2 linked regions of the Coturnix japonica genome follow. The protein of the gene in region 1 interacts with the protein of each later gene in a biochemical or structural test. Links are inferred from orthologs where the notes say so. Each region holds a gene or a part of one and is shown on either strand. Other genes may lie near its edges.

Region 1 (3,695 bases):
AGGCAACTGAGAAAGGCTCCCAGTGCCCCACAAGATGCTCTAAGAGCATCCATCCTTCAGAGAGCTCCAGCAGAGAGCAGGGGTGAGTCCTGCACCCAGCAATTGCTTCACTCTGCAGCACATTTAGAACTATTACAGGGAGAAAAAAACACTGTGAGACAAACATACATATATATTAATGGCACACTAATGTTTCTTCGGTGTCATAACAGGATATAGCAGCAGCGTGATCATCCTTCAGCAACCAACCAGAGCCTGCAAATGGCTGAGCTCCATCCCAGCCCAGCACGCCCTTGCAAAGAACACAGCCCTTATCTCACCCCTCCATGCATCACCAGCAATGCCCCAAGGCAGCACAGTGGGGCAGCCCCCTCCCCATGGCACACAGCCCCCCTCCAGCACTGGCAGCCCAATGCTGTACCCACTGTGGGGTCCTCAGAGCACAGACTGACCCCATCTCCAACCCCAGCACTAGAAATGCAGCCAAGTAATAAGACAGGAGCACAGCAAACCCCTCCTGTATCCAGAATGGAAGAGAAGGTGCTCTATCAACCCCTGACACCTCCTGTATGTCCCCTCAATGGCCCTGTTTTCCCTCATCAACTTTAAGAGCCCAAGTGCAGATGCCCACCCCAAGACTTACTGGCTTAAGAGAAATGCCACCCTCTGAACAAACACAAGCTCAGCAAGGAGAGTATTACATTAAGAGGGTGTAAGTGTTTGCAAACACGAAGCGTCAGAGCAGTGAGGCTGCAGATGAACCGTGAGATCCGAGCTGCTGGGTTATGAAAAGCAGCAGCTGAGAAAGTCAAAGAACTTCCTGAGAGAAGGAGGAAGTGAATGTGAGGGCTGGGAACCCTGCACTGCTCACACCACTGCCATCATGGGCTGCTTTCTGCTCGTGTGTTCATTTCTAACCTCTAGAATTACTTTATAAGATCACCTTCTATCTCCAGCAGCAGAGGAGCTGGTCAGGAATGGCCCCTATCAGACAATTTCAGTCTCAGATACTGAGATCCACTGGGAAAAAGAAGCAAACACCACGAGACCAAATAGAAATCCCATTAATGAGAATGCCATTTATCACACCACCAGCAATGGCCATTTTTACTTCCCTTCTGATTCACGTGTGCTTTACTGCCATACATCACACCACCTCCAAGAAGACACAGGACACACTGAGGATGGGACAAGTGCAACCTGCTGCCTTATAGGTTTGTGTAGACTCTTAAGACAAGTATTCAAAGCTCACGTGGAGAAAAGAGCAGGCCCTGTGTTATGCTCCAAACACCTTTGGCACAGATGCAAGCTGAGTTTTGTTGTTATGTTCTTAAGGCAGCTCCCAACCTGAGGAAGGTCACTGATAAATAAAGGGAGAATTAACCCCATCACATGACATGTGCGGCTCTAACGACACCCAAAGCGTCAGGTTTATTTCTATTGCACCTGCTTTCTATTCCACCCTCGAGAGCCAGACGTAAAGAGGCAATACAGATATTGGGCACCTTACCTGGCATTAAAGGTCCTCTGAGCACAGCACTGAACACAAACATCCCCTCCACGTGACCGAACGCAAAAGGAAATGGAGACTTCTTCCCCCCCCCCCCCTTTTGGGCTGTGCTCCGTTTTCAATTTGCCCATTCCAATTCAATAATGGAAAGTATTTTGTTGTTCCCAAGCAGCGAGTTCAGCTCTCCATCCTCACGCAGCGCTCAGCCGCCCTGCTTATAAGAATCCCAATGCTGCTCTAACCTGTCTCACACATGTGATAGCAGCCTGCAACTCAGGAACACATACCTGCCTATATTAATACATATACACTGTGACAGAGGGGAAAAAAGGCTCGGTGTCTTTATCCAGCTCATCTCCCAGCACAAAACCCATCAGAAGGGACACATGTGAAGCATGGATGTGGCCCCCAGCTCACCACAAGCTCCCTATGGCACCTATAGCCCCATCCCCACGCCACTGATGTGTCTTTGAGATAGAAAACCCATTCTTCCACCCTCCCAATGATAAGCTATGGAAGGCAGGAGGGGCACAGTGCAGCCTCACCTGGGCTGACCCCAGCTGCAGCAGGGATGGATGGCTGCACATCTATGGGCAGCACTCAGTGCTAGTTGCTCTACCGACTCTATAAGACACCAAGAAACAGCAGGACAGAAGCCCTACACATCCCAAAGCAACCCCTATAAACCCCCCATCCCATCTCGCTTTCAGAGCCCATCTTTAAGCGCTGTCACCCGAATCAAAGCCCGGAATAAGAGCGATTCCCAACTACTGACCTGTCCGTGGTTGCGGGCTGTGTGCCACTCATTGGAGCCTCTGCCCAGAGCTCGTGTTATCCAATTTACATGGTACGATCACTGCGGGGCTGTCAGTGCGGCCCCCGCACTGAGAAAAACACCTCAGAAAAGGGCAAAAAAAAAAAAACAGAAAAAAAGGGGAAAAAAAATAAAAAATCCCCAACTTTTGGCGTACTAAATATCCAAAGGGAAAAAAAAACAACGCCAAACTTCATCAAAAAGCCCACAAACAAGGGAAGCTCCGCTCGCTGTGCGGTGCTCCCTGCAGGCCGCCCATACCCGCAACCGCCCGCCCCGACCCACCGCCCGCCGGTCGGCCCGAGCGGGGCGGGCAGGGCGGGGGGGGTTAGGCCGCTGCCTGCCGCCTCCTTTAGGCCCTGGGGGCCATGGCCGGCTCGTAGCGCAGAGAAGCCCGATGTCCCCGTTCTCTTTTCGGCCTGTGTTTCTACGGGCAAAGTCCTGCTGGGCTGAGGGACACACAGCGAGCCGCGCCCCTCCTGTTCCGGCGGCTGGGAGAGACGGAGCCTGCGCTGAGAGAGGTAAAATAACTCCTCCTCCGCTGTATCCCTCCGCCTGCTTAAAGAAATCCGACTTGTCATATTATCTGGGTAATTATCTCCAAAGCAACCTTCAAAGTAAAGCATAAGAGGCACGAAAGAGTCATTTTGAAGATGGAGTTGAAATAAAACTTTCTGGAGAAGGAGATGATGGAGATTTCTTTCGGTCCTTGTGAAGTATGGCTTCCTAAATATAGGTAATTCTGCAGCTTTCTGGTTGGAAATGGAATGGTTTTGCCCCAATTCGGGGTGTTGAGGATGTAGGGAGAGAAGTGAGAGGTGCCGGAGGATGGGAGAGCTTTGTTGTTTTGGAGAAGTTTGGTGTAAAGAGGGGAAGTGGGATGAAATCATGGTGTAAATGGTACTGAGCAATCTGTGCTTCCTTCCCCGGCTTCCTTTTGGGGGGAGAAAGAGGAAAAATAGGAGAGTGCTGACGTGAATCCATCAGAACCTCCAACACTGAGAGCCCGTACCCATTACAGCTCATTTCTGCACCTTCAATGCAATAAACCCCTCTGTGCACCCAAAGAGGGTTGGGAGATCCATCTCACTGGTTGGCATTGACATATTAGGCCTCAGCACTTCTTTATTGCTTTAATTCTTTGGGGGGAATCAATAAGCAATTATGCTGGGCGGTAGCAATTCGAATGGATTTTGGTTTGTGGCTGCAGTGCCCCACAATTAGGGTTAGTGCTGCCATCTGAACCTGGACCCCCATTAAAGCTATGGGGCTGAATCCCAGCACTCTATCCCAGCTATTAGAGCCTGGAACATCTCAGCTCAGGAGGAATGCTGAGTCCTATCAACTGCCTTAAAAGGTGGGAAGATAAGG
Region 2 (3,652 bases), on another chromosome or scaffold:
GTGGAAAACGGAATTGGTACCACAAGACAGGGCCTATTCCAGGCATCACACTGGGCTATTTGCAGTAACTAACTCATAAAAAAAAGGTGGTGCAGATCACAGGGCAGCGTGTTTTGTTCTTAGAGCTTAAGGACAAGGGCAAGAAAGGCTAATTGCCTGCTGCTTCTGACATGATGCCTTTTTGCTCAAGATGATTTTGAGTGAAGAAATAATAATAAAACAAGTCATGACTCACCTCTGTGTCTGGCCTCAATGATCTCAGATAACTTTTGAGGTCCCCACGTGTCATCAGCTCCATGATAACTAGGGTAGGCTGGCCCTGAGAAACAACACCTAGCAGGCGAACCTGGAAGAGGAAAAACAAACGCTCAGCTACAGATCCCACTAACTGAACTGCAGTAAGCATTTATTCATGTGATACATAGCCCCAGACACCCATGAAACAGTAGGAAATGTCTGGAAGCAGACTTGCTTTCTCTCTGACTCCTGCTGAACAGCAGTATTCTAATGCTTATGAGTTGAAGCTAAAACCCAAGCACCCCTTCAGCCAGTGAGGACATGCCCCGAACACCCTCCTGCTGTTAAAGCACCACGGCCTTATCAGTCCATCTCGTTACAGGTTCAAGACTTACCACATGGTGACAATTGAACTCCTTCATCACAGAGGCCTCGTTTAAGAACTCTATTCTCTCACGCATGCTTGCAGACTCATTGACCGTTTTGATGGCCACCCGGGTCTCCGGCTCATCCTTCACCACTCCCTTGGCTATTCCCTCATACACCATCCCAAAGGAGCCTTGCCCAAGCTCCCGGCACATCGTGATCTTCTCGCGGGGCACCTCCCATTCATCTGGAACGTACACTAAGCAGAGAGAGAACATGCCATCACATTCTGTTTTCCTAACTACTGGGATTGCTTTATGATATCAACTGTCTGAACAACTTTACTGTAAGCAAAGCTGGACATCATTTTACGACCCTGAATCATGCATGTAAAAATGATACTTAGCACACAAATACATCTTAAAAGGAACCTTAAAAGAATGCAAAGGGACTGGCAGAATGGGATAAAAAATAAGAAACCTACTGCTCACAACCAGGGTAATTCAGGAAACCCACCCAAGTTAATCTCAGCTGAATAAACTACAGGAAAAACTTCAGAAACTCCCCGCTTTCAATAGGCAGACAACATTCACATACAACTGCCTATTAATTAACTATGGGTGTGCAGATACAATGAAGAGAAAGAGGTTTTACCACATCCCTTTGTCAGTGTTTCATACCTTCCCAAACCAGACACAAACAGAGCACACAGAACTGAGAGCACAGAGGCTCAGCCCACACTTACCGTCCGAAGCACTGAAGTACTCAGGGTTCACAGACGCATACAGCACTCCGTTGCCCAGTCTGTCACTGTTCCTGTTGAAATACATTATTTTTTTTTCTTTTTTAATCTTTGAGCTCAAGTAATTGCAGACTGCCTATTCTACAGCTTTTCCACTGTTTGCTCAATCACGAAGTATTTACTGTAGGTGGAGAGCTTTTCAGAGAAAGAAGACAAATCACGTTCTTATTCTACTTCACATAATCAGTGGGAAAACAGCTCAGAACATTTTTCCCAAGAAACCTGCAGTCTTCTCTGCTGCTGATGTGGTACAGAGAAGTGTAAACACACGGTACTTTCAGCTGCTAGGCAAACTTCCTTTAAGAAAGGCAGCTGTGCACTGATACACCCAGGAGACGTATGGCTTTAACATCACCTGCTTTTTACTGTGAGGCAGAAGTGAGCTAGCAAAGAACAAGGTGTTTTTTTTCATTCGGGTTTCTGTTCCACTACTTTATAAATTGCTTCTATTATTTTACTTTCCTGGTGTGATTTTCAGAATAAGACGTTTATTGAGAGTTGTAGGAGTTCTTGCAGGGGGCAAAGCTGTACAAATAAAATTAATAATCAGACCTCAGAAAACCAAAGAAAACATTTTTGTGTGCTAGAACAACAGCTTAAAGAAGGATGGGGTATCAGTTGCTCCACTCTGAAAAGGACATGGGAAGGCCAGCAGGTACCTCACTTCACTAGAGGCAAAGCCGTTTCTGTAGTGCTTGGGAACTGGGATGACAGCGTGCACACAAAGGGATGAGAGCTGGGACACTCAATGGGCATAATTTAAAAGTATGTGTAACAAAAGCCTGCATGCTTAAAAAGTTGCAAGACTGAACATTTGCACTGACTTCTGCTAAGTTCTCATTATGTATTTCAATTACATTAAAAAAAAATCCCTAGTTATTAAAGTACAATACTAAGGAAATCAAATCAATTGAGTGTTCTGTCCAGCATATAAATATTTGTATGTGTATGGAAGGAACTGAAAAATAAAACAACTTCAGAATCTGCAAGAAACCAAATTAATCTCATGTGAGTGAAGTTTACAGAGCAACCTGCATTTCAAAGCACCTGATTATAAAGGTTCAGCATCTGCCATCACTGTCCCAGTTCCTGACAACCCTTCTTCTGCCCTTTCAAACACGATCCTGTAATAAAAAGCCCCTTTGAATCCCAAGCAGCAGGCAGATAATGGCTGGTAACTCTACACCACCTCCTTCTACACACCAACAAGGCAGAATCCACTTTAGCTTCTCAAGTACTCTGAAAGCTATTTCACTTCTTATTTTCTAACTTGCTCCACAGACACAGATTTGAAAATAAGCATTCCCTTCCTACAGTTTGGCTTTAACCACAAGTGTAACTCACCTCTTCTTGTTAAAGACATACAGCATTATCAGCAAACCCCCAATGATGAGCAGGAAAGCAATGGGGAGCACAATTATCAAATGGAGGAAGTTGTCATAGTTTGCTGCTGCAACCAACAAGAAAACAATTGTATTAAGGTTTCTATAAAATCTCCATTAACAAAGAAACATTCAAAACCCACTCAGTATATTTCCATACATGGGAGAAATCAAAGTACTCATTTTCTTGTCTGATGTGGAAAAATGTACTCAGAAACACGCCCTGACTGCAGATGAGTGGAATAAGAGAACAGAGAGTGAAAAGCCTCAGCTTTGTACAGAACAGCGTCTGTCAGGAGTTTGGTTTCACATGTTATGCTTGAAGACTTACATTCCTTAGTGAACAATACTGAGCTGTTCACTTGTATATCAACCTTTATTTTCCACCACCTTTTGTTCACCTTGCCATTGCTCGTACTTCAGAAGATATTCACGTTGGTTCATCAGATTCCGACAATTAGAAAAACAAGAATGAATAAAAGATGGAGGCTGACTTTCTGTGGACACAGCTGATTTTCAGCTAAACACAGATGTTCCCGAGATGGTCTCTGTGTACCCTGTACAGAGCTATTCCAAAACCTGAATCGCTGCCATTCTCAGGGGCAGTATCCCTCTTTCATCAGTCTTTATCACAACATTCCTAACATCAATTCTAAAGTACAAAAAATCATACTGAGTTAAATAAAATCTGCCAGGCCATATTCTTAGCAAATCACTGGTTCTTACATCACTTTGTAACTCAAAGTAGGTGATTATCACAGGTTCTGCACCATTCAGCTCCAGTATTTAACTCCTAACATTACACTGGGCTATAAGGTGGACATCAAAGGGAGTGGCAGCAGTGTGCATCAACAGGCAGGAGTAT

What was found.
Region 2: the proteins of ARHGEF12 (region 1) and IGF1R form a complex in vitro, tested with the Homo sapiens proteins (2 studies listed by BioGRID and IntAct, with this or other methods). The link is inferred for Coturnix japonica from reciprocal best matches to the Homo sapiens genes ARHGEF12 and IGF1R.

What each region holds. Positions count from the first base shown.
Region 1 is NC_029539.1:3,194,386-3,198,080, forward strand, and holds the start of ARHGEF12 (rho guanine nucleotide exchange factor 12), read right to left. Parts: upstream 2,834-3,695; 5' UTR 2,318-2,833; coding exon 2,286-2,317; intron 1-2,285. UniProt on the Homo sapiens protein: May play a role in the regulation of RhoA GTPase by guanine nucleotide-binding alpha-12 (GNA12) and alpha-13 (GNA13). Acts as guanine nucleotide exchange factor (GEF) for RhoA GTPase and may act as GTPase-activating protein (GAP) for GNA12 and GNA13.
Region 2 is NC_029525.1:15,115,404-15,119,055, forward strand, and holds part of IGF1R (insulin-like growth factor 1 receptor), read right to left. Parts: intron 2,856-3,652; coding exon of another isoform or gene 2,853-2,855; coding exon 2,750-2,852; intron 1,420-2,749; coding exon 1,349-1,419; intron 863-1,348; coding exon 633-862; intron 347-632; coding exon 236-346; intron 1-235. UniProt on the Homo sapiens protein: Receptor tyrosine kinase which mediates actions of insulin-like growth factor 1 (IGF1). Binds IGF1 with high affinity and IGF2 and insulin (INS) with a lower affinity. The activated IGF1R is involved in cell growth and survival control.